2 linked regions of the Arabidopsis thaliana genome follow. The protein of the gene in region 1 interacts with the protein of each later gene in a pairwise test. Each region holds a gene or a part of one and is shown in the gene's direction. Other genes may lie near its edges. The genes, in order: CRK39 and AT1G49200.

Region 1 (17,193 bases):
AGTCCATATGACGTCGGAGATTCTGAATGCTGAGAAGATTCCGATGGTTGTGTATAACTATGAAGGCCCATGTTACAGTGGCTGTGGATAATTTTGAACAAGTTAAAAGGAAAGTGAATAATTAATGGGGTTGGAAAATTGAGAAAGTGGACAAGTTATCCTTCAAAAGGTTTGAAAGATTTGAAGGATAATTAATTTAGAGAGATAAAAGGGGGGGGGGAGAATTTAGAGAGATAAAAGGCCGGGGGGGGGGGGGGAAGAAGAACTTCAGTAACCTAGGCACCTAATAATATAATAATGTTAAAAATATTAAGTTGATGTGATGTGACATAAAGGTAAAATCATAGAAAAGCGTAAGGGATAAAGATTAGTAGAAAAAATTGTGGAGACAGTTGACTGAGACTGTTCTTAGTGGGAAGATACCCCACAATAGTCCACGAATGTGAAGTGTATTGCATTTGCATACTTACAAAGCCACAACATAATTGTTGTCCCCTCTAAATATATAATGTCCCTCCCCATCCGTTGATAAGTGATTTTACCTCCACATAAAATATTTTACATAAAGATAAGAGTTATATATGGAATAAAAGGTAGTAAAAAGTTAAGTCTCCAAAAAACATACAAGTTCGGAATAAAAGTAGAGTCACTAAATATTAAAACAGACATAAATTCTAACATGGACATCAAACACGAAGAGCTTCAATAAACTCCTCATAGATGTCTACAGCAAATCTCATCCTGAGATCTTCAACGGACTCCTCAGTTATGGAGTCATGGCTAATGGCCTGAAAATGAAGCTCAATAAACTTCACAACAAGCGGGCCACTGTCATCTGCATGCTCAGTTTGGAAGACCTCAGGGAGACGATCATAAGCAAACTCAAGGGGCACTTCATTTGTCCTCAGGTCTTGGGGGACAAGCGACTTTATAATAAGCGGAATCAGGACAATAAAAGGTTTCATCAAAACCGTCCATCTGTTTGGCAGTCTTCGAGTCAGCGATAGGGTCTAGCACACCTATGGTACCCTCTTTCTGATTTATGACAATGGAAACGCAGTGACCGGCAGTGAGATGTAAAGGAGTGTACAAGATGTCGACATCAGCGAACCAAGCCTATCGGATGCTACGGCCAGGGACGATACCTTTCACATAGTCCCAGATCTTACTGTTCCACGACCAGTCAGATTTACTTTTGGCCTTCTTATAACGTGGATAGAGCTCAACAAAGTTAAGTGCGAACGAAGAATCTAGTATAACAGCCATACTCTGTACCAACTCATCGCCATACCTCCGCGCCAACAGGCTTAGCATAGCCTCGATGTATTGGATTACATAAAGACAACCAGTTAGATCTGAGTAAATTTTAACATATTCCCAGGTTTAGCATTGATTTGGTACATACCTCCTGGTGGACAGCAGCCTGAGGAGTGTGCATGTCCTTGAAAAATGTTTTAGGGACAACATGTCCCTCGATAACGTACTTCCTGACCATTCATTCATAATAATGATTAATAGATACGTAGAAGAATATTAGTTACCAAAACAATAATTCAGCGGAAAACTTAATTACCTTTGGCGATAAGCTTTGATAGTGGACAAAAAGCTTTTCCGAACCTCATCGTTTACTTTGGCAATTGGGTGCAAATCATCATGGGGCCCTTTGACTACTGAGACAGTAACTGTCTCACAAAAACGCTGGGGTTTTTTCTTGCCCTTCTGGGAGGAAGCATAGACTTAGAAGTATCCCCTTCTCCAACCTCTCTTTTTCTTTTAATCCTAGAGGGAAAAGTCTCTGAAATTGGGACACCAGCATGTGCATTACCCTATAAGACAAAGATTTATGTCAGATCCATAAAAGACAACAAAAGATTGAAAAAACATAGATTTATACCTCTTGATCGGATAGTTGTTCAGTATCAACTTTTGAGGATTGAAGAAGCTCTTCTGGATGTATAGCAACAGTAATAACAAAAGGTTTGCTAATCGCAATAAAAGATATAATAAGGATTAAATGAGGAATACTTCGTTCATGGTCTGATCATCTTGTTGATCACCGGAGTCAGACCTTCCTTCACTCTCATCATCACCCTCGTCCCCTTGTTTTGGATCTCCATCCCCTTGATGAGTATCATCACCCTCGTCCCCTCGTTGGGGATCTTTGTCCCCTGGATTAGTATCATCACCCTCGTCCTTTTATTTGGGATCTTCGTCCCCTTGAAGAGAATCATCACCCTCGTCCTCTTGGTTTGCTCCGTCATCAAAATCGTCTCCGGATTCAGAGTCACTAACTAAGACAGCCTCATCTTGAGGCGTTAGGAAATCGTTGGGCTACAAGTAAAAAGAAAGAATTAAAGGTAAATAAGATTCTCAAGACCAAAATAATTATTTATAAAAAAAAACACAACTATCTAGAAACTTACGTTGTGATCTTCAGTAATATTCACATTATCAGACTTCCCATCCATTTCCTATTTAAAAATGTTATGCAAACATTTACAATGTTATATGATACCAAAAAAGAAATAAAGGGACAATACTCACCTCGTCTCCAATAGCAGCGTCTCCAAGAGCAGCGTCCTGGTCTTCCGCTTCTGTGTCCTCTGGTATGGTCTGCAGCGGCGTTTGAAAGTCTTTTGGCTAAATAAGAAGTAAGCACAATTGGTTAAAGTAAAAGGAAATTCTAACGATAAGTAATAGATGCCAAACCATTAAACTTACATTGTGATCACTCGAGGATTTCGAGGACGATGGACCACCAGAAGGATCCGAACAAGTAGAACCAAACTTTCCAGCCTGCGGAGGACCAGAGGAAGATGCATGAGATTGGTTGATGTTCTTAATAACTTCAGACAATCCCCCATAATTAGACCAGGCTTGCTGCTGCAATGCATTCAAGAGTTGAGCATGAGTCTGTCCACTTGGGGCAGGGTTCTTGCTTGACGAATCAGCGATTCGCGAGGGCATATTACTTTGTCTCTCAGGGACAATCTTGGGGTCGAGGTTCTTCGCGGGGTCACTAATTTGTCCCTCATCTGCTATGTCCTTTTGGGACGCAGCCTTAGGGGGTGGAGTGACAATTCCATCACCACTAGTGGACTTTGGAGACTTTCCACCAGATTTGGGACTTGGAAACTTGTCACCATGGCGCAAATTGCTTATTATCTCGTCTAATAGTTCGTCCTTTAACAAAGAATTCTCTAAGATAAACATACCAGTAAGGTCCCCAAATAATTCAACCTTCAGTTCATCCTTCAATTCACGAAATTTAGAATTAACCTGTTCCATGATCAGACCATGGAGAATATCATGTCCATCAGTCCTCGGTGGTGGAGTACTGAACTCTTCATGCACCTTCCCTTTACCTTTAGCAGAGGGCCCTTTTGGGGACCAGATGGACCAGCCTGGAAAGAATCAGGGATATCCGATGGTCTGTGTGGAGGCACCTTCTTTGCCTTTCGAGCATTGTCTTCTTTAGGATGGTTCTCATCAACGACGATCTTTGGCCAGGTTCGACAACCACCTCTCCAGTCAGATTGTTGGAACTTGTATCGGCTACCAATGACCCTTTCCATATAGTCAAGCGTCGGGTCTTCAACTTCATCGATCCAGTAGTCGTTGATATTTGGGTATGGTGGATCATCAATGGGCAACAACGGAGAAATACTCAACTACATTGAAGCCGAAACAATTTATCAACTAAACAAATCATCAAAGGCAAACTAGTGAGAGACTAATAAGAATCTAATAAAATTAGGTCCACAGATTACCCTAGGAATTAGCTCTGTCTCCATTATGTTGGAGTTGTGGTAAGTCTTCAACGGAGGCAAACTGGTGAGAGACGTCTCACTGATAGTCTGCGTATCATCGGGGTTTGGAAGGTATCTTTCCAATTCAGGGATAACGTTAAAGACAAAAAGTTGGAAGACAAGAGGGAATCCATGTGTTGAATTGTTAGACTGATTGAACTTCGTGATTAGTCCTGGGAGATTGCTGACCTTGGATCTAACTTTGTGAGAAGGAAGGACTCTCGTCCCCAGGGATACGCCTCAAAAGCCTCCAAGTCCTTCACCATTTCAACGACTTATTTAGAAACTTTTACAGGTTGGGAACTACAGATCAAGATCCCCTCAACAATAACTATAACAGCGAGACAAAGCCTTCTCCAAGGTTCCATCCTCTCTTCTTTAGGCTTCAGCTTATCTGTCTTCAACCATTTGAATATATCCTTGATGAGGACGACTTTGTGTTCCTTACCTATTAGGACATTCCAGTAAGGATGTCTCAGATTTATGGGTTGCTGCGACTTCAATATGTCTCTCCGAGAGGGGTAAGGACCACAATTCAAACCACTAAGAATGGCAAACTCCCTTAACAAAAACCGGAAGGGCTGACCGGCAAAAACAAACCAAATCTCGTGTTTTTTCCTTGTGTAGAGGCCTCTACACAACATCTGGTGGACCAGTTTCCCGGAGAAAGAACATTTACGGACTTCAAATTGAAAAAAGGGACTAAAACAAGGGGCGCAAATGTAGTTTAACTCCTTCGTCCCATCTAGAATATCGACGAGATAAAGAAGGTACTTAGGCTTAGAGTATGTATTTATACGCCCATTCAGCGGATAGCAGTCAGTTGCGTAAAGTCTCTTGGGAAGTCTTTCCCGATTGAATTCAGGGATGCGAGGAATTATTGGCGGATCAGAGCTCTGCTCAGCGGTTGATTTGGCAGAGAGAAATGGATCGTCGTCGTCTTCAAAGGACACCGACCGCCTGGCACCGCCAAGCGCTGACTTCTGTTTCGCTTTGCTGGTGGAAGACCTCATCTGCGTTGGGGTAAAATCAAACAATTATCAAATCAGTTATTCGATGTGATAAAATAATTAAACACACAGGAGGACGAAAAACCCTAAAAGCTGTAATGGGGGACATTTCGATTAATCGGAACAAACTCAATCAACCGGCTTAATTGCTAAAGGTTTTCGAACTTTCTGGGTAAATGAATCGCACAGGAGAGGACGAACTATCTAAAATCATAATGGGAGACAAACTCGATTTTTCATAACAGACCAGTAACAAGGGATTTGCTAAAGATTTTCCAAAAATACTTCACTGAATAAAATATGAAGACATGATTGAAGATAGCAACATGCAGAAACTTGAAATGACCTTACCGGAGACATAATCCGATGAAAGTTATCGGTGAAGGAAAGGGAAAGTATGAGAGAGATAGACGAAAGAGAGAGAGTTAACTGTTGTTGTTTTTCCGCACGGTTTACAATGAAAAAGAGATAAAAGGTATTGTAAAAAGACGCAGTTGTTGAGCGCGAAAACTGCTCAGTAAACCGTGGGAACAAAATGGACATTTCACAACCAAATGTGGTATGAGTTGTAATGCCCGAAGAAATATGGCAGATTACATAACGATTGGGAAAAATATGGCAGATTTTATAATTTTCCTACATTTAATTCATATCAAACAACATTTGAACATTTAAAACCATATACATTTGAACATTTAAAACCATTCAACGAGAAATCATAATAAAGCCATCATCTGAACAGTGCCACCGAATTAGTGTTTCTACTTTATCCCCATCAACTCAATCCAATCATTCACTATGACAAATTTTGGATTCCGATTCTTAAAAGAAGAAAAAAAATCTAGGTTAAGTTTCGACGTGCCGCGCGTTAATGAACAGACAAGAAACAATTTAACATGTCAATCTTCACTAAAATTTACTTTCGGATTCGAGACAAACCTGAGAGAAGCGAAACAGATCAAAGCTTGCTCGGGAGGAATGGACGAGAGGTTGAAGAAGCGGTAGCGGCAGCGCAAATAAACGAAGAATTACAACAATCAACGTAGAACAAACAAGGACTTTCAGAAAAGGCTCATAAATAAACTTTTTAATGGACCATATTGTGTGGTAAGAAGATAAATATATCTTATCAAATAAAATATAAATTTACTAAAACATTATAACACAACTATACTTATTTATTTTATAGAAAAGAAATTAAAAGTAAAGAAAATAATTATAAAAAAAATGTATATATCTTATTAAATAAAAATAGGAATAAAGGTAGAGAAATTTGGATCTATAACCAAAAAAATTTAATAATTAAGAAACTAACCTAAAAAAAAAAGCTGTTGTGATATTTTTTGTATTTTGTATATTAAGACCACTTTACCCTTCTCACCTCTCACCTCTCACCTCTCACCTCTTATCTCTGGCATCTCATCTCTTTTTTTCTATATCGCCTTCATTAAAACAGAACAAAACTATAGTTTTCTATTTTACTTTCAATTTTGTTACATTCTATTTGCTAGAACTAAGGAAAACAAATACGAAGACTCACCAGATCTAATTGAATATTTTCTGGTTTGATCAATATCTCCTTAACACAAATTTAAACCCAAAATCGAATCGATTTCAATTCGATTTAAGAAAGGAGAAAAGAGATTAAGAGTATATAAACATGATTTTTTCAGACTTCTAAAAACTGAAACTTGAGATGATTTCATTTAGTTTAATTATTTTTGTTTGGGTTCATATAAAGTATCATCCTTAGGGTTTAATTTTTTTAAATCAATAGATGTTTGTAATTAGAATGGATTGAGATAAAAAAAAGTTAATTTTTCTGGAAATTTTTTATTGAATTGGGGAGAAGAGAAGAAGCAACGAAGAAGATGATGAAGGAAAAAGGTCTGTTAAATAAGAATAAAGTGGATATTTCCCAGTTCTCATATGTTAGTTTCTTAATTTCTAGAATTATAGTGCTATTTTCTTAATTTAGTGTTGAAAACTAGTTAGTTTTCCAATTCACCCATAAAAGTATTTTCAGAAAAAAAATATAGAAAAAAAGAAAAAAAGTATTAGTGTACTTGGAACCTAATATTATTCATTATCAATCATGGAATTTTTACTTTACACCGAAGTCGAAACTCTACTCTGGACGATAAAGTGTATGATTGGTGCCGACAACCAAGATGTAGCCTTTTTTATATACTGTTCAGACCTGGTGAAGATAGTTTTTTCCTCAACCGAATAGTCGGCGTTTTCAGCATATTTGGAGGATTTTCAGAGCGACAAGGAAGAATTCACAAGCTTCTCTTTATCTTTAATTTTTTGTAATGCAAATGTTAAAACGGACAATTTGGCACGAAAATTTGTACTAAATCGTTTTATGTCACTTATGTAAACAATATTCCGCAAGATTGATTCTTTTGAGCTCAAAACAAAACCGATGACAAAAAAAAAAAAAATCATGGAATTTCTAAGAACCGTAGACACTTACTTGGTCACCGTTGCCAACTACGACGAAATATTTATAACATTTCTAATATGCTACTTGACAAAACAAAAAAGGCTACTTGAAAATCGCTAATTTTTGTTTTTCTTCCTCACTAGTCAATATCACTTATGAAAAGTTATTTGTAAATTTGCAATTACTTTCCAAAGTAAGGTTTTGTGAGTAAAATGTATGTTTTGATAGGAATAAACATTCTCAATTTACTAAGCAGTTATGTATACTATAGTTGTTTTAAACGCACAAATGAAAACTTGTCAAATGGGATTGATAACAAACATATCATACTACTTTCTTTCTATCTTTTGTCAATATCGTATTACTTTATGTTAAATATATAGTAAAACTTCTCGATAAATTAATAACTATATAAATTAATAAATTCTTCCGTTCCGAGTTGAGATCAATGTAAAAATTGATACAAATCAATATATTAATAAGATAATAATTTTTTTGAAAATCTTATATAAATATATGGTCTCATTTACCTTTTAGATTAAATTTTTGTAAAAAGTTACAAAATTTGTAAAATCTCTCTATAATTTAAATTTATTAATTAATCGATAAATTAATACCTTTTTAAATTAATAAATTTTCTCGGTTTCAGTATTATTAATTTATAGAGGTTTTACCGTATTTCAATTATATCCTAACTATACAACGAAAACACATAAAATAATAAAATTTGAACATGAACATCTCTGTATACATATATGGACATGAGAACCTACGCGTATGTCCGAGTACTTTCCTAGTAGTAACAAAATCTGACCAATACACCATTTTGTCAAGTCAAGTAGTGTGTACTCGTTGTCTCAAGTCACCTTATAATATACAAAAGCTCTATAGTAATTGATTATCCTCGTAACAATAACGTATGATCAAAAAGATATGGGGAAATACTCTGTTTTGATGATCTTTATCGCTTCTTCTCTTCTTATTGTCCTTCAAAACGTGGAAATCGTTAACGCCGTCGGATGTACCGGAAGCTTCTTCAACGGTAATAGCAGCTACGCTCAGAATCGCCGCGATCTCTTCTCTACTCTTCCTAATAAAGTCGTCACCAACGGTGGATTCTACAACTCTTCACTCGGCAAAAGTCCCAACATAGTTCATGCTGTTGCTCTCTGCGGAAGAGGATACGAGCAACAAGCTTGTATCAGGTGTGTCGACAGTGCGATACAGGGTATACTAACGACAACGAGTTGTCTAAACCGCGTGGATTCATTCACGTGGGACAAAGACGAGGAAGACAATGTTTCTTGTCTTGTAAGTACCTCAAACCACTCAACTTTTGGGAACCTCGAGCTTAGACCTTCTGTTAGATACCAAAGTCCGAATAGTATCGAGCCATCGAAAAACATGACTCTTTTCGAACAAGAATGGAATGCAATGGCTAATCGGACCGTCGAGTCTGCCACAGAAGCTGAAACTTCCTCGGTACTTAAGTACTATAGTGCCGAAAAAGCCGAGTTCACAGAGTTTCCAAATGTTTACATGCTGATGCAATGCACACCCGACATAACTTCCCAAGATTGCAAAACATGTCTGGGAGAATGCGTGACGCTTTTCAAAGAACAGGTTTGGGGAAGACAAGGAGGCGAGGTTTATCGTCCGAGCTGTTTTTTCAGGTGGGATCTATATGCTTTCCATGGTGCTTTTGATAATGTAACAAGAGTTCCTGCGCCTCCTCGACCTCAAGCTCAGGGAAACGAGAGCTCTATAACAAAAAAGAAAGGTAAAACATTGATTTGAGTCTTATTTAAGTTTGTTAGTATGATAAAGATGTTCTTAGGCTAAAAGGGGTTTGATGATTTTTAGGAAGAAGCATTGGATATGGTGGAATTATTGCAATAGTTGTGGTTCTTACTTTCATTAATATTTTGGTGTTTATTGGCTATATCAAAGTCTATGGACGTAGGAAAGAATCATACAACAAAATCAATGGTAAGTGTACATTATTTCTTGCTTCAATCAACCACATGATGTAGAGAGTAAGTCTTATATCTTCTTGTTTTTTCTTTTAGTTGGAAGTGCAGAGTACTCTGATTCTGATGGTCAATTCATGTTACGGTTTGATCTTGGTATGGTCTTAGCGGCTACCGATGAATTCTCATCGGAAAATACGCTTGGCCAAGGTGGATTTGGTACGGTCTATAAGGTAGTACTAACATTTGTTTTACTAATTATGAGTTCTTGATTGATCTTGATCTTTGGTGAATAACAAATCTTGTGGACCGGTTTCAGGGGACATTACTAAACGGGCAAGAGGTAGCGGTGAAGAGGTTAACAAAAGGTTCAGGACAAGGAGATATAGAGTTCAAGAATGAGGTTTCGCTATTGACAAGACTCCAGCATAGGAATCTAGTTAAGCTTCTTGGATTTTGTAATGAAGGAGATGAACAGATTCTTGTTTACGAGTTCGTTCCCAATTCAAGTCTTGATCACTTTATCTTCGGTGAGACTTCGAAAGACAGCTGCCAATTTGGATGGTTTTAGAACTTTTAGCAAACTAAATGTTTCTTTGAACTTTGCAGATGATGAGAAGCGTTCACTTCTTACATGGGAGATGAGATACAGAATTATAGAAGGCATTGCTCGAGGTCTTCTTTATCTTCATGAAGACTCGCAGCTAAAGATTATTCACCGAGACTTGAAGGCAAGCAACATACTTTTAGACGCAGAGATGAACCCTAAAGTTGCAGATTTCGGGACAGCGAGGTTGTTCGACTCCGATGAGACTCGAGCTGAAACAAAAAGAATAGCTGGAACCCGGTAAGAAATATATCAAGGTATATTTAAATGCTCTGTTTTGAAAACAGAGTCCATGAATTAATGTTATTGGTTTGCATATATGCAGTGGATATATGGCTCCTGAATACTTGAATCATGGACAAATCTCAGCTAAATCTGACGTTTATAGCTTCGGTGTTATGCTTCTAGAGATGATTAGTGGTGAAAGAAACAATAGCTTCGAAGGAGAAGGACTTGCAGCTTTTGTAAGCTTCTTCACATATATATATTTTTTTGAATACCAGGAGGTTCTGGGCCGAAACCACAGCATGTAATATTAGTTTCGTCCCAAGCGTCACTCGAACCGGCGACCTCTAAGTTTCTTCACATATCAGTTTTTGTTTTTCTAATCTTCAAAAACTTTTGGTGTAGGCATGGAAAAGATGGGTTGAAGGAAAGCCTGAGATTATAATTGATCCGTTCTTAATAGAGAAACCAAGAAATGAGATCATAAAGTTGATCCAAATTGGTTTGTTGTGTGTTCAAGAGAATCCAACAAAGAGACCAACAATGAGCTCTGTAATAATTTGGCTTGGTAGTGAGACAAATATCATTCCTTTACCTAAAGCTCCTGCTTTCACTGGAAGTCGATCCCAATCTGAAATTGGTGCAATGTCAATGAGCGACGATGTCTTCACGGAGTTAAGTTGTCGTTGAGTTAATCAGAATGTTGGTTCCAAAAGGGAGTTATCGTTAGTTCAATTAGCTAATTCAAATGTGCTTTTTAAAGTATATGTTGTGTATGTCATCTAATAGTAATACTTTTAGGTATTTTGAGTGAATGTAAGGAGATGAAAAAATTGTATGAATTATTTATACATTTTTGTTTTAAAACTACCACAAATTGATATTATAGAGGTAATAAAATAAAATAAACTTAAAATGTTGCACAGATAAATATAATTGAAAAATAAATAGCTGAAAATATATTTTTAAACCCCAGCTAGATTTAAAATTTATATTTTAGAGTTAGTATATATAAAATTTTGCAAATTATATCTATTTATAAGATATTTCTATTTCTCGTTTATAATTGTTATTAAGTAATAGATATCACAAGTCCACGGGTTAATTGTTAAAATATTGAAAATTTAATTCATATTGAAACGACATGTTAGTGACATTTAAAATTTTATAAATATTGATTCAAACTTGTCTGTTCTGTAATATAACCCGTACGATGATTTTTTAACCAATCTCATGATTTGTTTTCTAAAAGTAGTAATTTATAAAATTTAATGATTATTTATTATATTTGAAAGCTTACAAATTGTATCATTTCTAAGACATTGATATTTTATAGTTTACAATAGTTATGTAGTAACCGTATATCACGAGACATTTTTGGTTTTATACAATCTTATATAAGTTAGGTTGTTTAGATATATCTAATATTGGTAGTGTTCTTATATATCTTACTCTGAACATAAATATTAAAATTAATTTTTGTTGATAAAAATATATTATAAGGAATTTTCGGAGTATTTTGACATCACTTCCTATAAAGGTATATATCAAGTAACTAATATAGTTCTCCCTAATACTTTTCTTCTACTTATATACCTAAATGACGACCAAATATTTCAAAGTTGATTTCAATTTTATCTGACCAATAAGAAATCTTTTCTGACTCGTTTTCTTAAAAATATTTTTTAAAAAGAGTGTCTTTCTCTCTCAGGCACGGACATCGAAGCACCTCTTCCGTTCACGTATTCCGATATCGGCGTAGCTTTTGTTCGCCGGTGTCGAGAAATATCTAGTTTCACCCTTCATCACTTTGTTTTTAATTTTCTTGTCTTCATTTTCACGATTTTTTCCCCCAATTTGTTTATTTTTCTTCAAATTTCTCCAACTTTCTCGAACTCACTAGATCCATACGTTTTCTCAATAACCAGCGACCAAGGACAAAAGTATTTTCTGGCGAACTCCCTCCTCCTCGCTTTGCTCGCAACCTCCTTGACGGCGGACCAGAAGACCACCGCCGAAGACTATTTTGGATCTGGACTTTTGTTCACTCTTGGAAACTCTTCAACATGGACTTCGTTGATGGCAAGAGTTCTCTCTCTTGGACCATCAGATGTGCCATTCTCGATGTTTTTCGACGACGCATGGTGATTCCTTATTCAGAGTGATAAATCCTTCTCAAAAACCCATGTTTTATTTGTTCACCGCCTCCGCCGCAGATAATGTCAATAGCTTTCTACCAACGAATCTTATTACATTGAAGGAGCATAATTCATCGCAAATCTATCCTTCTGCTTTGATCAACTGCTGCACTCTCTTTCCACCTTGGTCAGCAATCACGAAATTAGGGTTTCACCTAAAGGGATTTGTCCCTAGATTCGGCACATTAACACGTGTGAAGCCCAAGCCCAACAACGTTATATTCAGGTCTGTTTCAATTTGTATTTTGACAATCTTTGGTCGACATTATGCTCTTGATGGTCGACGACTCCATCTCAGAACTAATTCACCTTCGTTGATATAGATTAACAAGTATCTTTTGAGAACTCTGGCTTATGATTCATCTATGGTTGCGACCTTTGTTCCCAAATCCAATTTGTTGGATGAATGAATGTTATCATGGAAAATCTATGCCTAAGTTTCCCTCTATGATAATACCATCTAACAATTTCAAGTACCATCCAACTTCCACCATGACTAAGTTTCGGATCATGTTCTTTGAAGAAGATTTTGTTTGTCACAAGAGAGATCTCGAGTCTCTGAGTTGTGTCACAAAGCAATCTGTATCCGACTATAAAGCCATAGTCTCTCGAATCCTAGATGATGCTCTACTCCCTATAGAGCTTCTCGTGCCGGCGAGAATCACAGCTTTGATTTCTTCATCAACATCACTATGTCGATGCACACTGACCACCATGTTTTCCATCGATTTGTTCGTGGAAGATCGTTCGACTAACCGTGATCTCACATGTGATAAAACACAATCTAGTCTTTGTCTCAAATCTCTCGTGGAATCATTGTTGATTTACTTTATCTATTTTGTTTTGACATTGAGGAATGCCTTTCTTTTTGTTGTCTTAAACGTTTGGAGCTTTGCCTTTTATCGCCTTGTAGTTGGATTATTTGAATGAGTGAATAAATATAAGAGGAATATTTCCTTATTAATCAGATAAAGTATCAATTCCTAATTTCTGCTACTCTACTTGATTCTTATTTTACTCTACATAGAAATATAAGAAAGATTTTTTTTAAGAAATACAATCTAAGCAATTTTCCTTACTATTTTCACTTTAATTCTCCAAAGAAAAAAATATAGAAATACATACCTAATATAGTTCTTCCAAACATATTTCTTCTAAATATACACCTAAACAAAATCTAATGCAACCAAATATTTTCAAAGTTGCTTTCAATTTTATATCATAGATGATGTGATCATGGAACTCACTATTCGTATGTCGAATTTTGATCTTTCTCGACTTATCAAAAGGCTTTTCCGCATCCTTTTGTGGCGTCATTCAATCCATCATCTCGTCTTTGAGTCGTGTGTCGTATCCATTTCGAGAATATCCACTCCAGATCTTTGAAGTGCCGAAATTAGGATTGATTCCTCACCATGATCATATCAATAGCAAACAAAATTGTTCTACATCTTTTTTTTTGGGTCAAATGTTCTACTACATTTAAGTACCTTTTTTATAACAACATTTAAATAGCTCTTTTGGTGACTTATTTGTGCTTCAAAGCAAGCTTGTTTGTTTTATGTTTGTACCATTTTGCGACCAGTACATAATATTTAGTAGTTTTACGTTTGTACCATTTAACGACATGTACTTACATCATATAATAGCTATATTGGTTTGTACCAAATAAAATATAAATATTCTTAGGAAAAGCAAAATCAGCAATATATTGAGAACTTGTAAAACATAATTAAATAAATTTCTAAATATATTTGTGTACCCATATAATGGACGAAAAATCACATTATAGCATATTATAAGAGGACTACCATAATATTTTATTTGGTTTTTATTTTTCTATCTCATTATGTATATGGGATAAGCATTAAATAATATAGAGATCAAGCATTAAAAAAAAATAGAAAGCAAAATTGTCTTAGTACTTGCGCCCAAGAGTGAGTTCAAGGGACAATTCTTCTTCGCCAATTGCACCACCACAAGCAACAACAACATCATTATCTCTGTTTTTATTAAGTCTCACCTAGAAAAAGTATATATTTATCTAGTTTCATATGCCTCAAATCTACATGTTGATGATCATTCATGATACTAATGTAAGAAAAAAAAGAAGAAGAAGAAAAAATACACTTGAAGATTGATAGAGAGACTTGTTACTTGATCCCAAAACTGGAGTTATCTTCTCACTAATATCCAATTGTACCCTACAAAACAATTGAAAAAAAAAATTGTTTTATTTACCAAATCAAAAATCGATTATACAAAAACCTAACTCAATACATGAACATAAGAACCTTTGTTGATTTTGGATAAATTGGGTAGCATCTCGAGCACTTTCGTAGATTTGAATGTATTGTTGAGATTGCCTCCTGCTCATTTCTCGCATCATTCTCCTTTCTGCCAAAGGATTGAGCATGCATAATTATAAATGAAAAGGATATAAAGTCACTATGCATTATGTTGAACATCAACATACTACCATATACAACGTTACACTACAAACATAATTATTAAATGTTAATTTAAATGTAAGATAATTACTTATACCTTTTCTAGATTCTTCTTTCTTCTTGTTCCTATACATCTAATAAAAGTAAAAAATATATATTTATTTCATTACATACTATCTTAAATATAAATATGATACTCTACATTAATGCATATACATGTTATGTATATAGACGTATCTTATATCGCTAACTGATTATGTGTATAAACTATAAAGACCTGAAGATGGCTTTTCACATGTGAAATTGGGAGGTTTTTCACATCCATAAAATCCAAAATAACCTTAGGAGTTGCCCCTGCAAATTTAAGGAGAATATTGATATTAATTATAGTTAATCTAAAAGATGATATCAAGAAAAATATTATCATGTGTAATATATAATAATAAAAAATAAGAGAGATGAGGTATCTTAAAGGAAAAATAGGAGATTGTTTATTTTAATGGCGATTGGTTTTTCTCTCAATTTATTTAGAAGAATTGTCTTTATTTTAATTTTGCGATATGGAAAAAAATTGCTTACTTCTTTCGCCACCAAGTAATTCAACAACTTGAATAAAAAGGAGATTAAGATCATCTGTCCAACGCCAATGCGGCACTTTTGACCTAGTGTACGATCTAACGATCCGTCCTCTCATTGTTCTTCTGTCTCTTGTAAAACTCTTAGTTTGATAAAACTTTAGACTACATACTGATAATTTATATAAAAATATATTTATATATTTTCCCCAAAAATAACCTTAAAAAAAATATTTAGTGCTAGTACATGTTTTTGTTGTCACGTGTAATTTTTGATTTTACTATTCTCTAAAAATAAATATAAAACTGCATTTTAAGAAATAATTATCTTCTGACAACTCCAAATTTTCTTTTCTCTAATAATAATATGCATAATAAATTTTAAAATCTAAAATGAATACTTACCAGATTTATTTTATTTTTATTCTAAAATTAAATCTATATATGCTGAATATTTGTAAAAATAAAGTAAAACTCAAAAAAACAAACATATTTTCTCTAATAATAGCCTTGTTATTAATTATTATTATTTTTAACCAAAGGTTATAAATAAATTTATAATCATCCAAAAAGAACTTTGAATTATATTTATTTTGAATTAAAATTAGATTTTCTTAAAAAAAGCTATGAATACAAATGAGTTGTAGGTGATATAAAATATAAATGGGAGATGAAATCATTTTTCTTATAGAAATGGAGTTACATTGTAGAATCGTTGTTTGTGGAAAATGTTCATCATATTTGTATAGAGTACTGCAAGTAGATGTGTCCAAATAGTTAATCATATTATTGGTAAAGGTAAGGCTAAAGATTGTGGAACCTTGTTTTTCGTAAAATTTATGAAGGTTGTTTTTGTGGGGAAAATATGGTATGATGATGATGATGATGACGGTGGCGTTAATAATATGATGATATGATAGTATGAAGATAATTATGATGTGAAAAATTATAATCTTATGAAAGTTTTTGTCTAACTATAAACCATTACATATTATTGACAAGGCAGGCCCAAAGTGCATAGCTACCTAAAGCATGAGTTTTTTTTTTAAAACCCATAACACTTAAATATAAAAATATTCAAAAACCACAAAATATTGGCTCAAACTCAAGACTTCATGTTAACCTTAAAACTTAACTTTGTCACTGTGCTACATATAATTTTCCCGTATTTGATGTCCTATAAATGATGATATATTATTAGCACCTAAAGCCCTAGCTTTACTTGCTTTAGATCAGGGGCGATCCTGATTACTGATCAACTCATCTACTTATAATTTCTTTGACCAATCAACTCATTTAGAACAAAATAATAAAATCATTAATGTGATAAGTTAGGTTGATCCATGAGGTATGAATCCCTTATTCACCATCAATGACTGAAAATATAGATTAATATTTTAGCGGAAAAAGTGTGATATCGTATTGCGGTGGAAAACTTGTGAAAACCATCTATTTTTGGCAGAAAATTGTTCAATTTTACTATCTGAGAAATTGTGAAATAGTGTCTTTAGCAAAAGAATTACAGAATCTCATTTTTTGGTTGGAAAATTATGATATTGTGATTATATTGAAGAAATTGATGATAAAGGTGATGATGATTATATGGTGATCATGATGATATTAATAAAGCTAATGATGATGTTAAGTATGATAATTTATGGTTTAATATGGTGAACCATAAACCATTACAACTTACTCCAAACGATCCACTAACTCACTGACCCATCAACTCATTATGATCCAAATAGTAAAATTATTAGGGTTGATGAATTAGATTAGATCAAATTGACACATATAGTTTGACTCATATATTAAAATTTTATTTTTAACAAAAGAAAGATGCTGAGGTTTGAGAAAAATTCATTTGAAAAAAATGTAAGAGCATCAAAGAAAATTAGAA
Region 2 (15,315 bases), on another chromosome or scaffold:
CTCAATGACTATTCCCAAATCATGAACCAAGATAGCATGTACAACAAAGCAGCAACCAAACCACAATTGACGTGGACCGAAGAAATTCAACCGGTTCAATCAGGTCTGGTTCAAGCCAACGAGTTCAGCAAAGTGAATGGATATTCCCAAAGCATGAACCAAGATAGCATGTTCAACAAATCAGCAACCAACCCGCGATTGACATGGAACGAATTACTTCAACCGGTTCAATCAGATCTGGTTCAATCCAATGAGTTTAGCCAATTCAGTGACTATTCTCAAATCATGAACGAAGATAACATGTTCAACAAAGCAGCAAAGAAACCGCGGATGACATGGAGTGAAGTATTTCAACCGGTTCAATCACATCTGGTTCCGACTGACGGTTTAGACCGAGACCACTTTGATTCCATAACCATAAACGGAGGTAACGGCATACAAAACATGGAAAAGAAACAAGGAAAAAAACCACGGAAGCCGCGGATGACGTGGACCGAAGAGCTTCACCAAAAATTTCTGGAAGCCATCGAAATAATTGGTGGTATCGAAAGTAATCAAACTTTTCTTTAATCTCTAGCTAACTCTTTCATTAATCTCTTGATTAATGTTGGTTCTTATGTAATTATTTTTGGATTTCAAAATGCAGAAGCTAACCCAAAGGTACTTGTCGAATGCTTGCAAGAAATGAGGATAGAAGGAATTACTAGAAGCAATGTGGCAAGTCATCTTCAGGTAAAGAAAAAAACACACACGCTAAATATTGTTTCTTTCATGACAAGTATACCATTGAATTAGGTTGGTTTTTTCACATACCAATATAATACAAGTTCCAAGTCATTGAATTTGTGTTGCTGTACAGAAACACCGTATCAATCTTGAAGAAAACCAAATTCCTCAACAAACACAAGGGAATGGTTGGGCCACTGCGTATGGTACACTAGCTCCCTCTCTCCAAGGTTCAGACAATGTCAACACAACAATACCATCGTACCTTATGAATGGTCCAGCCACTTTGAACCAAATCCAGCAGAATCAATATCAAAATGGTTTCTTGACAATGAACAACAACCAGATCATAACCAATCCTCCGCCTCCTTTGCCCTATTTGGACCATCATCACCAACAGCAACATCAGTCTTCTCCTCAATTTAATTACCTGATGAACAATGAAGAACTTCTTCAAGCCTCTGGCCTCTCTGCGACAGATCTTGAACTCACTTATCCAAGTTTACCATATGATCCACAAGAGTATCTAATCAATGGCTACAATTATAATTAGTCATATAGCCCTTCTCTTTACTTAAGGCAGTCTATGTATGACAAATAATATGCGACTTCCCTTGTGAGTCACAATATTGTTTCATTATTCTTTCATTTAAACTCATTATATAAACCCATTGTTCCTTTCTCATAGATTTTTTATGGAATAATAATGTTATTAACAAGAAACTGGATTCTAATTTATAATCAACGAATTGCTAATTCTCGTGAATGATTAAAATTTATAAAATTAGAGCACTTTACTAAAGACGTGTACATGATATAACATATATGCAAAAATAAATAAAAAAATTGGAATCAGGAATAGTTTTTTGGTTATTTGTTGGAATGTGAACTTTATTTATCAACAAAACTAAAGTTATTTATATATAACAAGTACATAAAAAGCATAAGCAAAAAGATTTGAAGATGGGATCCCATCATGTCCAATATAATGGGTAGAGTCTGGAGACTAGAGTCTAGAGAAGAACATATAACTTTCAAAACACAAAAACTCCCACAAGAGAAATTTCAATACATCCGGAAGAAACGGATATGGGGTTTGATCATGTCCTTAATTAGTCAAAACATTTGCAGTTCCAAAGCCAATACTATATATATAACTGAATAATGTTCGTCGATTCTACGTTTTATGTTTTTAATTGATTCAACATGTCTCAACCCTAATATTTAGCTACATATATAATGAGATTCAAACTGATGGGAGATGGAAGCTAAGATATGACAAAAGGCTACAAATGTGGTTTGAATCCAGTATTTAACAACTTTTGATCTTTAGATTTTCAGCTATATTTCTATTTAAATCAAACGTTGCATTAATTATAAAATCGATAATTTTATTTTGAATATAATTTAATATTATATTAAAAATATAGATATAATGAGATATCGTTGTTGTAGTTGCTCATTTTAACACGAGCAACCGTTGCTAAGCTTGAGGAAGAGTGGTGCACAAGGATCCTTGAGAATATATACTAGATTATTGGTTGATTCCTAGAATATCCATATAAGTACGTAGTTTTTATTTATTTTTCTAATCCTCGAAACGAATACCAAAAATGACAGATTTTAATTTGAAGGAAAAAAAAAATAGTCATATGTGAAGATTTTACTTTGGTGTTTGGTGAGTTAAAGAACTGGTTGGAACACTCTAAACACTAGCTTGCATAAAATAAAATAAAAGGTAACAGATAAGTTTTTGATCTAACGAGATGATAATAGACAAAAATAGCACAAATGTTCTTGGTACAAGAAGAAATAGAAAGAGATTGGCGTATTACTCTTGAGCACTATACAAACATGACCAATTCGGAAATTAATATTTGAGATCCTATTCAAAAAAAAATTAAAGTTCTATTTTTAATACATGAAATTATATCTTAAGCATAGAACATGACCAAAGGGTGAGTTAAAGAAAAAAGAACTCATATTCATTACCAAAAATCAATGTAAATTAAACGAAAATGATAATGTGATTATATAATATAGAGAAGAAATTGTGGTGAAAGATATTAGAAAAGAACATAATATTTCTCACCACAAAATCTTTCTCTTTGTTATATAATCATTATGATGATGTCTTCTTACAAAGGGCCTAAAGAAAAAAGTGGAGATTTATACAAATATTTTATATGACAATGCATGTAGAAGGGCAGTCGTGTGTACATGACCCATCTCGGTGAAAGCAAAGTGTAATGTAAAGTTTAAAATTTAGGATCAAATCCCGACAAACCTAAAGCATTAAAACTCTCTTGTTTCGTATATTATAAAGTTATTTCTTTTGTGTGATCGCGTAACTATGTTTGATATCAAAAGTACATGAGAGAAGTTAACGGTTCTTGTAATTAACCTTGTTTCGAAAAAACATATAACAATTCAGAAATTGGTATGGTTGTGAATTTTATGGAAAGGCAGAGTCGTTATGGTGACAGGAGAAACCAAATTATGTAGAATTTTTTTGTTTCTTCTAAAAGTTAAAAGGGTAATTATAAGATCTATGAGTTATAGAGAAATTAAAAGATTTAAGAAATGAGGAGATCTCAAAAATGAAACAAAAAGAAAAACATCTTAGAACAAACAATGAAAATCCAAAAAACGAAAAAGTTCAAATCTTAAAGATAAAAGAAGGAAAACAAGATCAACAAGTACTATTCTAAGTATGTGGTCATGTTCTTTTGAAAGTATTTTTCAACAAGTTGATCGCTACTTATATGTATGTATGTCAATTACAGAAAACATGTGGTTATGTGAGATGCAAAATCTTTATGACGATTCTCGACTACGATGGAGGTAATAAATCCGAGGATTTAGCTTGTCACGGCGCATCAAAATAGAAGTTAAATACTTATTATGGCTTTACTACATTATCACTGATTAAAATAATTGAAAGTGCAAATTAAAAAAAGAGATAAAAGAAGAAGGATCACATACTTGTTCTCTTTTGGTGGGCTAATTGTTGTCCACAAATTTCGTTAGCACTATAGCTCCAAAGTCTTTTAATCAATATAATCATTTTATCAGGTAAATAATTTTTAATTGAAAAAGGGTATGCATACTAGCTTAGTAATCAAAATTTGCTGACAAATATAATCTTGGTTAAAAGTGAAATGCATTATTCCGACCTCCACTTACTACATGATATATATGCTGTATATGCATTTAAATATTACTTTTCTTAGAAGTTTATCCCTATACTTAAATGATTTATTCAAAATTACACACTAATACTAACAAAAAACGAACTGTAGAAGTCCTTGTTCTGTTCCATTGTTCCACTAACTCCACATAGTTAACTTTTAAATATGAACAAGTTTAGTCAAAGCTTCAGTATTTTTCATGTGAAGAAAGACTTACTTCCAATTTTATTTTTTTGCAAGATTTAACTCTAATTTGGATTGGAACTTTTATAAAAATTCTAAGAGTTTCTTTATCATATAAACTGATGATAAGAAAATTAGTTTGTTATCGAAAAGAGAATACTTTATTTATTTGTTATCAGCTTATAACGTATTGAATCCGGAAAGGAAAAGAGAAAAACACCCAAAAAATAAATTCATAGAAAACTTTAGAAGAATTAAACATTTAAATAAAACGATCATGAAACAAATAAAAAAGCGCATTAAGAACTAAGAAACATGGGACTTGGTGTTAAGGTTGGGGAAATTTAGGGGAAGAAAGCGACAAAGTTCATATCCAAACGTATAAATTTATAAACGTTCCTTTTTCTTGAAAGGTATAGAAGAAATAAACAAATGCCGACCAAGAACATGAAACAAATAAACAAACAACAGAACCATTTATATGAAGACATTTAGATACTTCGAAATACCAAAACAGATTTTGCAATATATTACCCGTAAAGAGAAAATAGTTTAGTAAGCATAGGAAAAGTCAAAAAGATCTTATGATCTGATATTTTTCCCTACATTTCGTAAATCATATAAAGTTAGGGAAGATCTTATGATCGTAAATCATATCAGAGGATCGGGCTATATATATACTTAAAAATAAACTTTCAAAAGCATAAAAACTCTCTAAAATTTCGTGAAAAACAAGTTTTTTAGGTAGATAAAAATATTTTGGTCTAAAAATTGGCAAAATCATAACTAAAAGAGACCGTTGGTTTTTACAAATAGCTAAAATAATGTATAAATTGCATGTCATTTTAAGAGATAACATGCATGTCATATTAAAATAGCGTGTTTTGCAAATAAATATTATCGCATACTTATTTTCTCAATTTTGATTCAAAATTTTAGAAGCTCAACAATGAAAAGGTAACTAGAAGGAGCAACAAATTCAAATATCTATTTGGTTAAGTAGCAATAAATCAAAATAGTAGAAGGATGTAGTAATTTTTCTTATGAAGTCTCCAAACATTTATACTTTTAAAATCGAGTTAAACTATGATGCAACATATTCAAATATATTTGGTTAAGTAGCAAACAATAGAAATAGTGAAAGGAGCTAGCCTTTATTTTTATGAAGTATACCAAAAATTAAAATGTTAAAATCGAAATTACCACCCAACCATTCTCTAAATTTTTTAAGTAAAGTGAACTATTAAGCAACAAAACATATACACATGGAAAGAGCAAAGAAATATTAATGCTAAAGCAAAAAGACTACTACTTTACACACCACATATTGTCGGCAAAGCATTAAACTGCGAGGAAGATACAACAAAATCTTCCTCTTCTTGATAAAAAAAACAACAAAAATCTAAAGTAAATAAAATAAACTTCAATCACTGAATAATGGAAATCAAATAAAATCCAGCTTATCAAGAATCAACACAAGACAATAAAACAAAGTTTTCCAATTTAAAGTGAGACAAAAAGTAATGATAGAAAATTCAATGTTGGAAAAGTGAGAGTCCCTACACAAGCATCTTGTGGTTGGAGAGGTATGGGCCAAATGGCACAATAAGCACTCAATGATTCATGAATTTGGATAAGCTTTATGGGTCCCAAATTCTCTCAAGACTCACTTGAAAAAAAAAAAGAAGAAAATGCACTTTCTTGAACAGAATTATTAGACTCCAATTATAAAATTCTCAGTCCCCACTCAGTAACCAGTAAGCATCTCAAGTTGTATATAAGACCACATTGAATTCCTCTAGACCTTAAGAAGCAATAACCAAACAAAGCCAAGCAAAGCAGAGAGAAGAGACCAAAGCTTTTTCAAAGACTAAAAAAATGGCTGCAAATGAATTAGCTTCTTCTTCAGTTCAAGCCTTCCAAGAGCAATCCCTTGGCGGTTTTGTCTCTAGAAAGCTGCTTCTGCACAACCCATTTGACCACAACACTCAAAGAGCCTTTGCAGTTGCACCATCTCCTCTCATAACCCATGAGAACAACCTCAGTGGAAATGTTCTGATGCTTCTCTCAGTCCTCATCTGTGGCATCATCTGTTGCCTCGGGTTACATTACATCATTCGTTGTGCATTCAGACGTACTTCAAGTTTCATGATCTCTGAGCCTATAGCCGGTCTTTCAACACCATGCGGTTCATCAAACAAAGGAATCAATAAGAAAGCTCTTAGAATGTTCCCAGTTGTGAGTTACTCACCTGAGATGAACTTGCCGGGGCTTGGCGAAGAGTGTGTCATTTGTTTGTCAGATTTTGTTTCCGGTGAACAGATTAGGATGCTACCTAAGTGCCACCATGGGTTCCATGTTCGTTGCATAGACAAGTGGCTTCAACAACATTTGACTTGTCCAAAATGCAGACACTGTCTGGTTGAGACATGCCAAAAGATCTTAGGTGACTTCAGTCAAGCTGATCAAGTGGCAGCAACACCAACAGCGAGCGTAATTGTCAGGATTGCTCCTCTGGAACCTGAAGGAAGAGTAAACATTTTAAGAGAAAGCAGCTAGATGCCAAGAGAGGCAGAAACCATCAAAAATCAAAATTCGTGATTTAGTTAGATAGGAGATTTTTGATCTGAGCTTAGTTCATGTCTTTAGCTATAGAAGGATACCTCAATGTTTTTTTATGTCTTTCTTTTTTGCCTGTAGCACAAAGTGTATACAGATTACAGAGAGAATATATGCCACTTTTAAGTAATATTTCACGACTTCATCAAACTTCTTTTTGAGAAAGTAAAATTTTCAATGGAATGTAAACTACATTAAGAATCATCTATTACCAGAGTGTGATATATTTCTATGTGTCACAATCACTACACAGAATTACACATTCAGTAGACAGAACAAATGGTTTCCAGTAATGAATGGCAAGGTTTGTGTGAAGTAGTGTTTAGACAACTAGATGCATATACGGTGCAGATCTGATCTCATGTATGCTTGATAGTGACATATGGACGAAGTTCGTGAAGAAAAAATGTATTTATCCACTTGTCTCAACCCACTTAAAACACTATCGATCAATCAACACATGAGTCATCAAGATAAGAAATACCAGAGGATTCTTCATTGCAATGATAAATAAATCAACTTTGCCATAGGAAAGTGATATGGAACCAACCAACCCATGATAAGGAAAACCAACCGATCTAAGTATATAGGTAATTCCTAAAAGCTAGTTTGGGGATGCATAGTCATTTAAGATTATCAACCTCCAGTCAAGTAATAAACCCATCCTATGGGATATAGCCTTGACACCAGACATAGCTATGCCATGATATACTATCAAAGATGTAGAATTGATTTGTAAGAACCGTCCTGGTCGAGAAAACCCATTTCCACAAGATCACACACCAAAATCTTAAAGTGAGGATAAATCTACCAACATCAAACCAAACAGTGGAAGGTTCAAGTTAAAATGACGGTTGATGCCTCAAAATTTACTCATCCTACATCTTATCAAATAGGTATATCAGATTGTAGTGCATGTTGTGTCAAGATTTAGTATACTCCTATATACTTTTTCTCCGAAACAGGTGCACATCGTGTGTATGCACACTACCTTGTTCAATATATTGTCATGATAGCTGAACCGAGAAAAGGCTAGGCCTAACGATTCAGATCTACTCACTGCTATCTCGTAGTATGCAAACAAAAACAAAACTACAAACTTAACTTACTTTAATTCCATCTCTATGATAAATTAAAAAAACTTGTGCATATATAAAAGAAAAGATTGAGTGATCAACATGAATATACCACTTGATATCTTTGTCATTTTCATATATTATCAAGATATCAAAATCTTATAATTGAGCATTCCATAACCCATTGTAAGCAAACCTACTAAACTGGTTTAGTTAAGGACCACATCTTCTAACTACGAGATTTTGGAGATCCTGTAATATAAAAGGAAGCAACAAGTCATAAACAAGGTTATCAAAACAAAAGACATGTCATAAACAATGATGGTTCAAATAAGGCTTAAGATCCTAGGCATTTCTGATTGGATGAGATACAAATAAAGTGTTCAAAAGTTCAATTAATAAGTAATACCCGACTAACAAAATGGGAATTTAATAGTGATTGAGGCCGTGCACCAAAAAGAAGTGTTATTGGTTATAATAGAACACTGTGGTTAACAGGTAACATTTGTCCATTAAGCATCTGAGGGATATCAGATCATATCCAATGATATGCCATTGAGAGTGTAAAAACTGCTATAAAGTATTTTGTTAGTACAACTTTATCCGTGATAAATTGCAGATTTAGCTTAAGTAATGCCCTTACAAAAATAGCTAGTAGTCTAAAATTGTTCAACTCTCTCAACAATTGAGACTTTCTACAAAATTGCCATCAATATAATAAAGATGTTCAAATTTCTGCTACTAGTTAACTGCCATTGCAATTATTGTAACGTTCTTTAGGTTGGTGAGAACTATCTACTCTGCTATTCACAGAGTTATAAGTAAAACAATGTAAATACAGAAGCACTAGAGGACACTGGTAGCTTTGGGAGATAATGTTTCAAAATACTATCTTAGTGCTTTAAGAAAATCCTGGCCACTTGTTGGACTAAAGACCTCAATCAATATGATAAGATTCATTTCTACACTTTTTTGTATTATAATACATATACTAGCTATAATTCAAAACTAGGCTAATTATAAATTAGAGAAAGTTTTGCGACATACCGTTATAAAGCAAAAGAACTGTGCACAATAAGTCTATTCCCTACATTGTCAAAAGAGAAAGAAAAGATATTTAGTAGGAACAATGAACAAAATGATAGTTACTTAAAAGTTCACCAAAAAAATGGCATTGAAGAGAACATGATTGAAATAGGTTCCACCAAAGAAAGTCAATAATGGTACATAGATGATTAAAAGACAGGACTAAAGCTCTGTGTTTCAGTATTTTAACTTTCTAGCCAAAGTGTAATGTTTCTGAAACTTTTCTCAAGTTTAAACCCATTGGGTCCAAAGCATTTCTACATAATGAATGCATCCAGCAAAACTCTTACATGAGTATTTTGGCAGACATGTAACTACTTAGGGAGATCAAAATAGATTTTGCAGATATTACCCTGACTCACAACATAAAATAAAATCCATCTTATAAAGAATCAACACAGGACAAACATGATTAAAGAAAGTTTTCTAATATATAACACAAAAAGAACTAATTCTATATTCAATGTCCCGACACAAGCATCTTGTGGTTAGAGGGGGTATGGGGAAACGACACAATCAGCACTCAAGAATTCATGGAATTGGATAAGCTCTTTCTGGGTCCCATATTCTCCCAACTCTCATTTGAAAAAAAGAAGAAAACACACTTTCTTAAACAATAATTATTACTATCCAATTATAAAATTCTCAGTCCCCATTAAGTAATCAGTAAGCATCTCATGCTATATATAAGACCACTTTGAATTCCCCAAAACTTAAAAAAGCAATAAGCAAACAAAGCCAAGAAAAGCAGAGAGAACAGACTTTGATTTAAAGCTTTTTCAAAGAGTAAAACATGTCTGCAAACGAGTTACCTGCTTCAGCTCAATCCTTGCAAGAACAATTCCTTGGCAGTTTTGTCACTAGAAAGCTTCTTCTGCACGACCCATTTGACCACAACTCTCTTCGAGTATTTGCGGTTGCACCATCTCCTCTCATAACACATGAGAACAACCTCAAAGGGAATGTTCTGATGCTTCTCTCAGTTCTCATCTGTGGCATCATCTGTTGCCTTGGGTTACATTACATCATTCGCTGTGCATTCAGACGTTCTTCACGTTTCATGATCTCTGAGCCTATATCCAGTCTTTCAACACCACGAAGTTCATCAAACAAAGGAATCAAGAAGAAAGCTCTGAGGATGTTCCCAGTCGTGAGTTACTCACGTGAGATGAACTTGCCCGGGATTGGTGAAGAGTGTGTCATTTGTTTGTCGGATTTTGTTTCTGGTGAACAGCTCAGGCTGCTCCCCAAGTGCAATCATGGGTTCCATGTTCGTTGCATAGACAAGTGGCTTCAACATCATTTGACATGTCCGAAATGCAGACACTGTCTGGTTGAGACATGTCAAAAGATATTAGGTGACTTCAGTCAAGCTGATTCAATGGCATCAACACCAACAGAGAGCGTAATTGTCAGGATTGATCCTCTAGAACCTGAAGGAAGAGTAAACACTTTTAGAGAAAGCAGCTAGATGCAAGAAAAGCAGAAACCAACATCAATCTAGAATCTGTCAGCAGTTAGATAGAAGATTTTAGATTCTAAGCCATAGAAAGGTAGATACTTCTATTCTTTTATGTCTTTCTTTTTGCCTGTAGCACAAAGTGTCGACAGAGCGAATATAATCTCACTTTACAAGAGCATCTCACGGGTTCATCAAAGTTCTTTTAGCAAAGTTATTTGTAATGGTGGCATGTCAACTATGCATTCATATCCAAAAACATTAAGAATTATCTATAACCAAGACTGATAAGTGCTAATCATATTCTTATGTGTCACAATCTCTACACAGAACCAAAAAGTCATTAGACAGAACAAATGGTGTCTAATCATATTCTTCTGTGTCACAATCTCTACACAGAACCAAAAAGTAATGATGCTAAGGTTTGTGTAAAGCAGCAGTGTCTAGTCTATGAAGTGCATGCATTTACGATGCAGACCTCATCTTGTGTATGCTTGATATTGAAAAAATGTATCTATCTACTTGACACGACCCACTTCATAAACTACCTATATACCGCAAAACCAATAAACACACATCGGGATAGCAAATAACACATGTCAGATGATCCTTCCCCCCAATGATAAAGAAATAAACTATGCCATAGGAATATGGACCCAACCAATAATAGAGAAAAACAACCAACATAAGTTTCAAGTTAGACCTGAAGCTACTTTGGGGAATGCATAGCCTTGTAAGAATCTAAACCGCCAGTCAGTGATAAACGCATCTTATGAGATCTAACTTTGACACCAGACATATCCAAGCCAAAATACACTGTAAAAACATAGAGTTGATCTGTAGATACCATCCCCAAAATTCATACACCAAAATCCAAGTGATGGTATGAAGCAAGATAAGTGAGAAATCATTCACCATTATTAAACCAAATACGGTTAAACTTCCAAGGATTCTTATCACAAGCATCTCCTACTCTACTCTGAGGGTTGATACCAGTTACCGTATTGATGCCTCAACTTACCCACCCTTTATCTTATCAAATTGGTACTAAAGTTTGTATCAAATCGTGGTGTCTAGATCTAATATACTTGCTCTATTGTTCTTCTTTTCCCCACAACAGGCACACATCTTGGGTATTGTACACTAGCTACTGCAAGATATTTTCATGAAAATTGAACGAACAAAAGGCTTAGTGTAACGATTCAGATCTTGGAAGTCCTATCTCCTAGTATGAAAACAGAAGAAAACTACAAAGTTGGCCTAATGATAAAAAAAAAAAAAAAGTTATGCTAATATAAAAGAATGCATGGAGTGTTCACTAGATATAGTGATATACCACTTGATATCTTAGTCGTTTTCATAGATTCTCCAAATACCAAACTCAGAATCTTGATCACTGGGTGATTCAAAACAGCCAAACAAGTTGCAATCCACAACCTATTGTATAAAAAATAACTAACTACGAGATTTTGGAGATCCTGCAATTTAAAATGAAGCAACATGTCATAAAAATATGATGGTTCAAATAGGGCTTAAGATCCTAGGCATTTCTTATTGGATGAGATATAACTAAAGTGTTGAAAAGTTCAATTAATAAGCACAGCCCCACTTAACAATGAGAGTTCAATAGAGTAATTGAGCTTTTCCACAAAAAAGAAGGGTTATTGGTTAACAACAGAAGACTGTGGTTTACAGGTAGCATATGTCCATTACACGCATCTTAGATGGTATCAAATCATATCTGGTAATATGTTATTGAGCTTGTGAAAACTGCAACGAAGTATTTGTAAGTACAAAAACTGCAACAAAGTTTTCCTAAGCACATCTTTTGCTGTGATAAATTGCAGGTTTAGCTTAAGTAATGCCCTTACTTCAACATGCAATGGTCTAAAATTGTTCAACTCTCTCAACAATCTATAAATTTTACTTCAGTTAACTACTGGAACAACTGTAGGATATCAATAGATCATAGCTGTAATTTATAACAAAGATGTTCAAATTTCTGCTACTATCGCAATTATTATAATGTTCTTTTGGTGGGGGAGAACTATCCTATTATATTAATACGCGTTAAAAGTATGTAAATACAGAAGCACTAGAGAACAATGATAGCTTTAGAAGATAATGTTTCAAAATACTATCTTAGTGCTTTAAGAAAATCTTGGCCACTTATTGGCCTAAAGACCTTGATCAGTAAGATAGATTCATGTCTAACCTTTTTGTAATATAACATATATTGTAACTATGCTAATAGTATTATAAAGAAAGTTTCGTCGACATACCGTTATAAAGCAAAAGAGCTGCTACACAATAGGCTCTGCCTATTCATCCTAGCACATACCGAAGTTCTCTACATTATCATGACAAGAAAAGATATTTAGTAGGAACGATGAACAAATAGATATTTAGTACGAACGTTGAATAAATAGATATTTACTCAACAGATATTTAGCAGGAACGATGAACAACTAGATATTTACTTAACAGATATTTAGTAGGAAAAGTACTTAAAAGTACACCGAGAGACAAACACTGAGAATAGGCGTTCAAGAGTAAATGATTAAAGAATAGGTTCCACCAAAGAAATTCATAGATTGAAAATCAATAATGGTACATGCATAACTAAAAAAACAGGATTAAAGCTCTGTGTTTCAGTATTTCCAGTTTCTTGCAAAAGTGAGCTCTACTTATAACGTTCCTGAAATTTTTTTAATGACACTTTAAAACCCATTGGATCCAAACTCTTACTTGAGTATTCCAGAAATATTCCAATTCTCATGTTATTTCACCTCAAGAGAACCATATACATGCAGACATTTAGATACTTGGGAATTATCAGAATAAAATTTGCAAATACTACCCAGACTTAAACATATAATAACGTTAATCAAATAGAATCTAGCTTATCAAGACTCAACACAGGACAAAAATGATAAAACAAAGTTTTATAATTTAAAGTCGGGCATAAATAAATGATTTCCAAATTTAATGTTGGAAAAGTGATAGTCCCTATACACAAGCATCTTAGGGTTGGAGGAGGTATGGGCCAATGGCACAATCAGCACTCAAGTCTCATTTGAAGAAAAAAAAAACTAAAAAGAAGAAACCCCACTTTCTTAGAAAAATAGTATTAGATAAAATACTCAGTCCCCACAGTAATCAGTAAGCATCTCGAGCTATATTTAAGACAACTTTGAATTCCTCAGAACTTAAGAAGCAATAACCAAAGAAAGCCAACAAAGCATAGAGAAGCGACTTTGACCTTAAGCTTTCTCAAAGAGTAAAAATGTCTGCAAATGAGTTACCTTCTTCAGCTCAAGCCTTCCAAGAACAATTCCTTGGCGGTTTTGTCTCTAGAAAGCTGCTTCTGCACAACCCATTTGACCACAACACTCAACGAGCCTTTGCGGTTGCACCATCTCCTCTCATAACCCATGAGAACAACCTCAGTGGGAATGTTATGATGCTTCTCTCAATCCTCATTTGTGGCATTATCTGCTGCCTCGGGTTACATTACATCATTCGTTGTGCACTCAGACGTTCTACACGTTTCATGATCTCCGAGCCTGTACCAAGTCTTTCGTCAACACGGGGTTCATCAAACAAAGGAATCAAGAAGAAAGCTCTTAGAATGTTCCCAGTTGTGAGTTACTCACCTGAGATGAACCTGCCAGGGCTTGACGAAGAGTGTGTCATTTGTTTGTCTGATTTTGTTTCCGGTGAACAGCTCAGGCTGCTCCCCAAGTGTAACCACGGGTTCCATGTTCGTTGCATAGACAAGTGGCTTCAACAACATCTGACTTGTCCAAAATGCAGAAACTGTCTGGTTGAGACGTGCCAAAAGATATTAGGTGACTTCAGTCAAGCTGATTCAGTTACGGCAGAACCAACAGAGATCGTAATTGTCACGATTGTTCCTCTAGAACCAACAGAGATCGTAATTGTCACGATTGCTCCTCTAGAACCAACAGAGATCGTTATTGTCATGATTGCTCCGCTAGAACCTGAAGGAAGAGTAAACACTATTAGAGAAATCAGCTAGATGCAAAGAAAGACAGAAACCATCAGCAATTCAGAATTTGTACTTCTAATTTTTTTATGACTTTCTTTTTACCTGTAGCACAAAGTGTATACAGAGTGATTATGTTTCATTTTCAGTAGCATCTCATGAGTCCATCAAACTTCCTTTGTAAAACTATTTTTACGGTGGAATGTGAATTTTGCAATCTTATCCAAAAACATCAAGATTCATCTGATAACCAAAGATTGATAAGTGCTGGTCGTATATTCTTATGTGTCATATCAGTACACTGAACCAAAACGTCACTAGACAGAATAAATGGTTTCCCAATAACTAATGCCAAGAGTTAGTTGTGTGAAGAAGCAGTGTGTAGTCTACCATATGGAATTATGGTCCAGACCTGGTCCCATGTACTCTTGATAATGACAAAAGCACAAAGTTTGTGAAACAAAATTACATCTATCTACATGAATCAACCCACTTAATAATTAATCTATATGCCTCAAAACCGATCCACACGCATAAGTCATCAAAATAGCAATTACCATGAACAAGACAAAAAAGATAAAAAGATATTAGTAAGAACTATGAACAAATAGATATTTACTTGACAGAAAGAAATTATTAAGTAGGGAGAATGATCAAATAAATATTTACTTTACAGATATTTAGTAGGAAGAATGACCAAAAAGATATTTTATAGATATTTAGCAGGAACTAAGAACAAATATATATTTAATCAAAAGTTCACCAAAAGATGAACACTGAGAAATGGCGCCAAAGAGTAAATGATTAAAGAATAGGTTCCACCAAAGAAAGTCAATAATGGTACATAAATGATTAAAAGACAGGACTAAAGCTCTGTGTTTCAGTATTTCAACTTTCTAGCCAAAGAGAACTATAATTAAAATGTTTCTGAAACTTTTCTTATGGCTCTTAACACCCACTGGATCC

What was found.
Region 2: the proteins of CRK39 (region 1) and AT1G49200 interact in a protein complementation assay, tested with the Arabidopsis thaliana proteins (one large-scale study listed by BioGRID).

Annotation. Positions count from the first base shown.
Region 1 is NC_003075.7:2,251,379-2,268,571, forward strand, and holds CRK39 (cysteine-rich RLK (RECEPTOR-like protein kinase) 39), read left to right. Parts: upstream 1-8,119; 5' UTR 8,120-8,201; coding exon 8,202-9,048; intron 9,049-9,131; coding exon 9,132-9,257; intron 9,258-9,337; coding exon 9,338-9,471; intron 9,472-9,557; coding exon 9,558-9,768; intron 9,769-9,847; coding exon 9,848-10,085; coding exon of another isoform or gene 10,086-10,089; exon of another isoform or gene 10,090-10,170; coding exon 10,171-10,309; coding exon of another isoform or gene 10,310-10,378; exon of another isoform or gene 10,379-10,475; coding exon 10,476-10,760; 3' UTR 10,761-10,942; downstream 10,943-17,193. Other genes in the region: AT4G04555 (Myb family transcription factor), read right to left, coding at 14,444-14,472, 14,603-14,665, 14,816-14,852, 14,996-15,072, 15,298-15,412.
Region 2 is NC_003070.9:18,192,320-18,207,634, forward strand, and holds AT1G49200 (RING/U-box superfamily protein), read left to right. Parts: upstream 1-5,907; 5' UTR 5,908-5,978; coding exon 5,979-6,659; 3' UTR 6,660-6,849; downstream 6,850-15,315. Other genes in the region: RR19 (response regulator 19), read left to right, coding at 1-550, 647-762, 860-1,279; AT1G49205 (uncharacterized protein), read right to left, coding at 6,344-6,469; AT1G49210 (RING/U-box superfamily protein), read left to right, coding at 9,675-10,352; AT1G49220 (RING/U-box superfamily protein), read left to right, coding at 13,627-14,382; AT1G49225 (uncharacterized protein), read right to left, coding at 13,993-14,136, 14,220-14,344.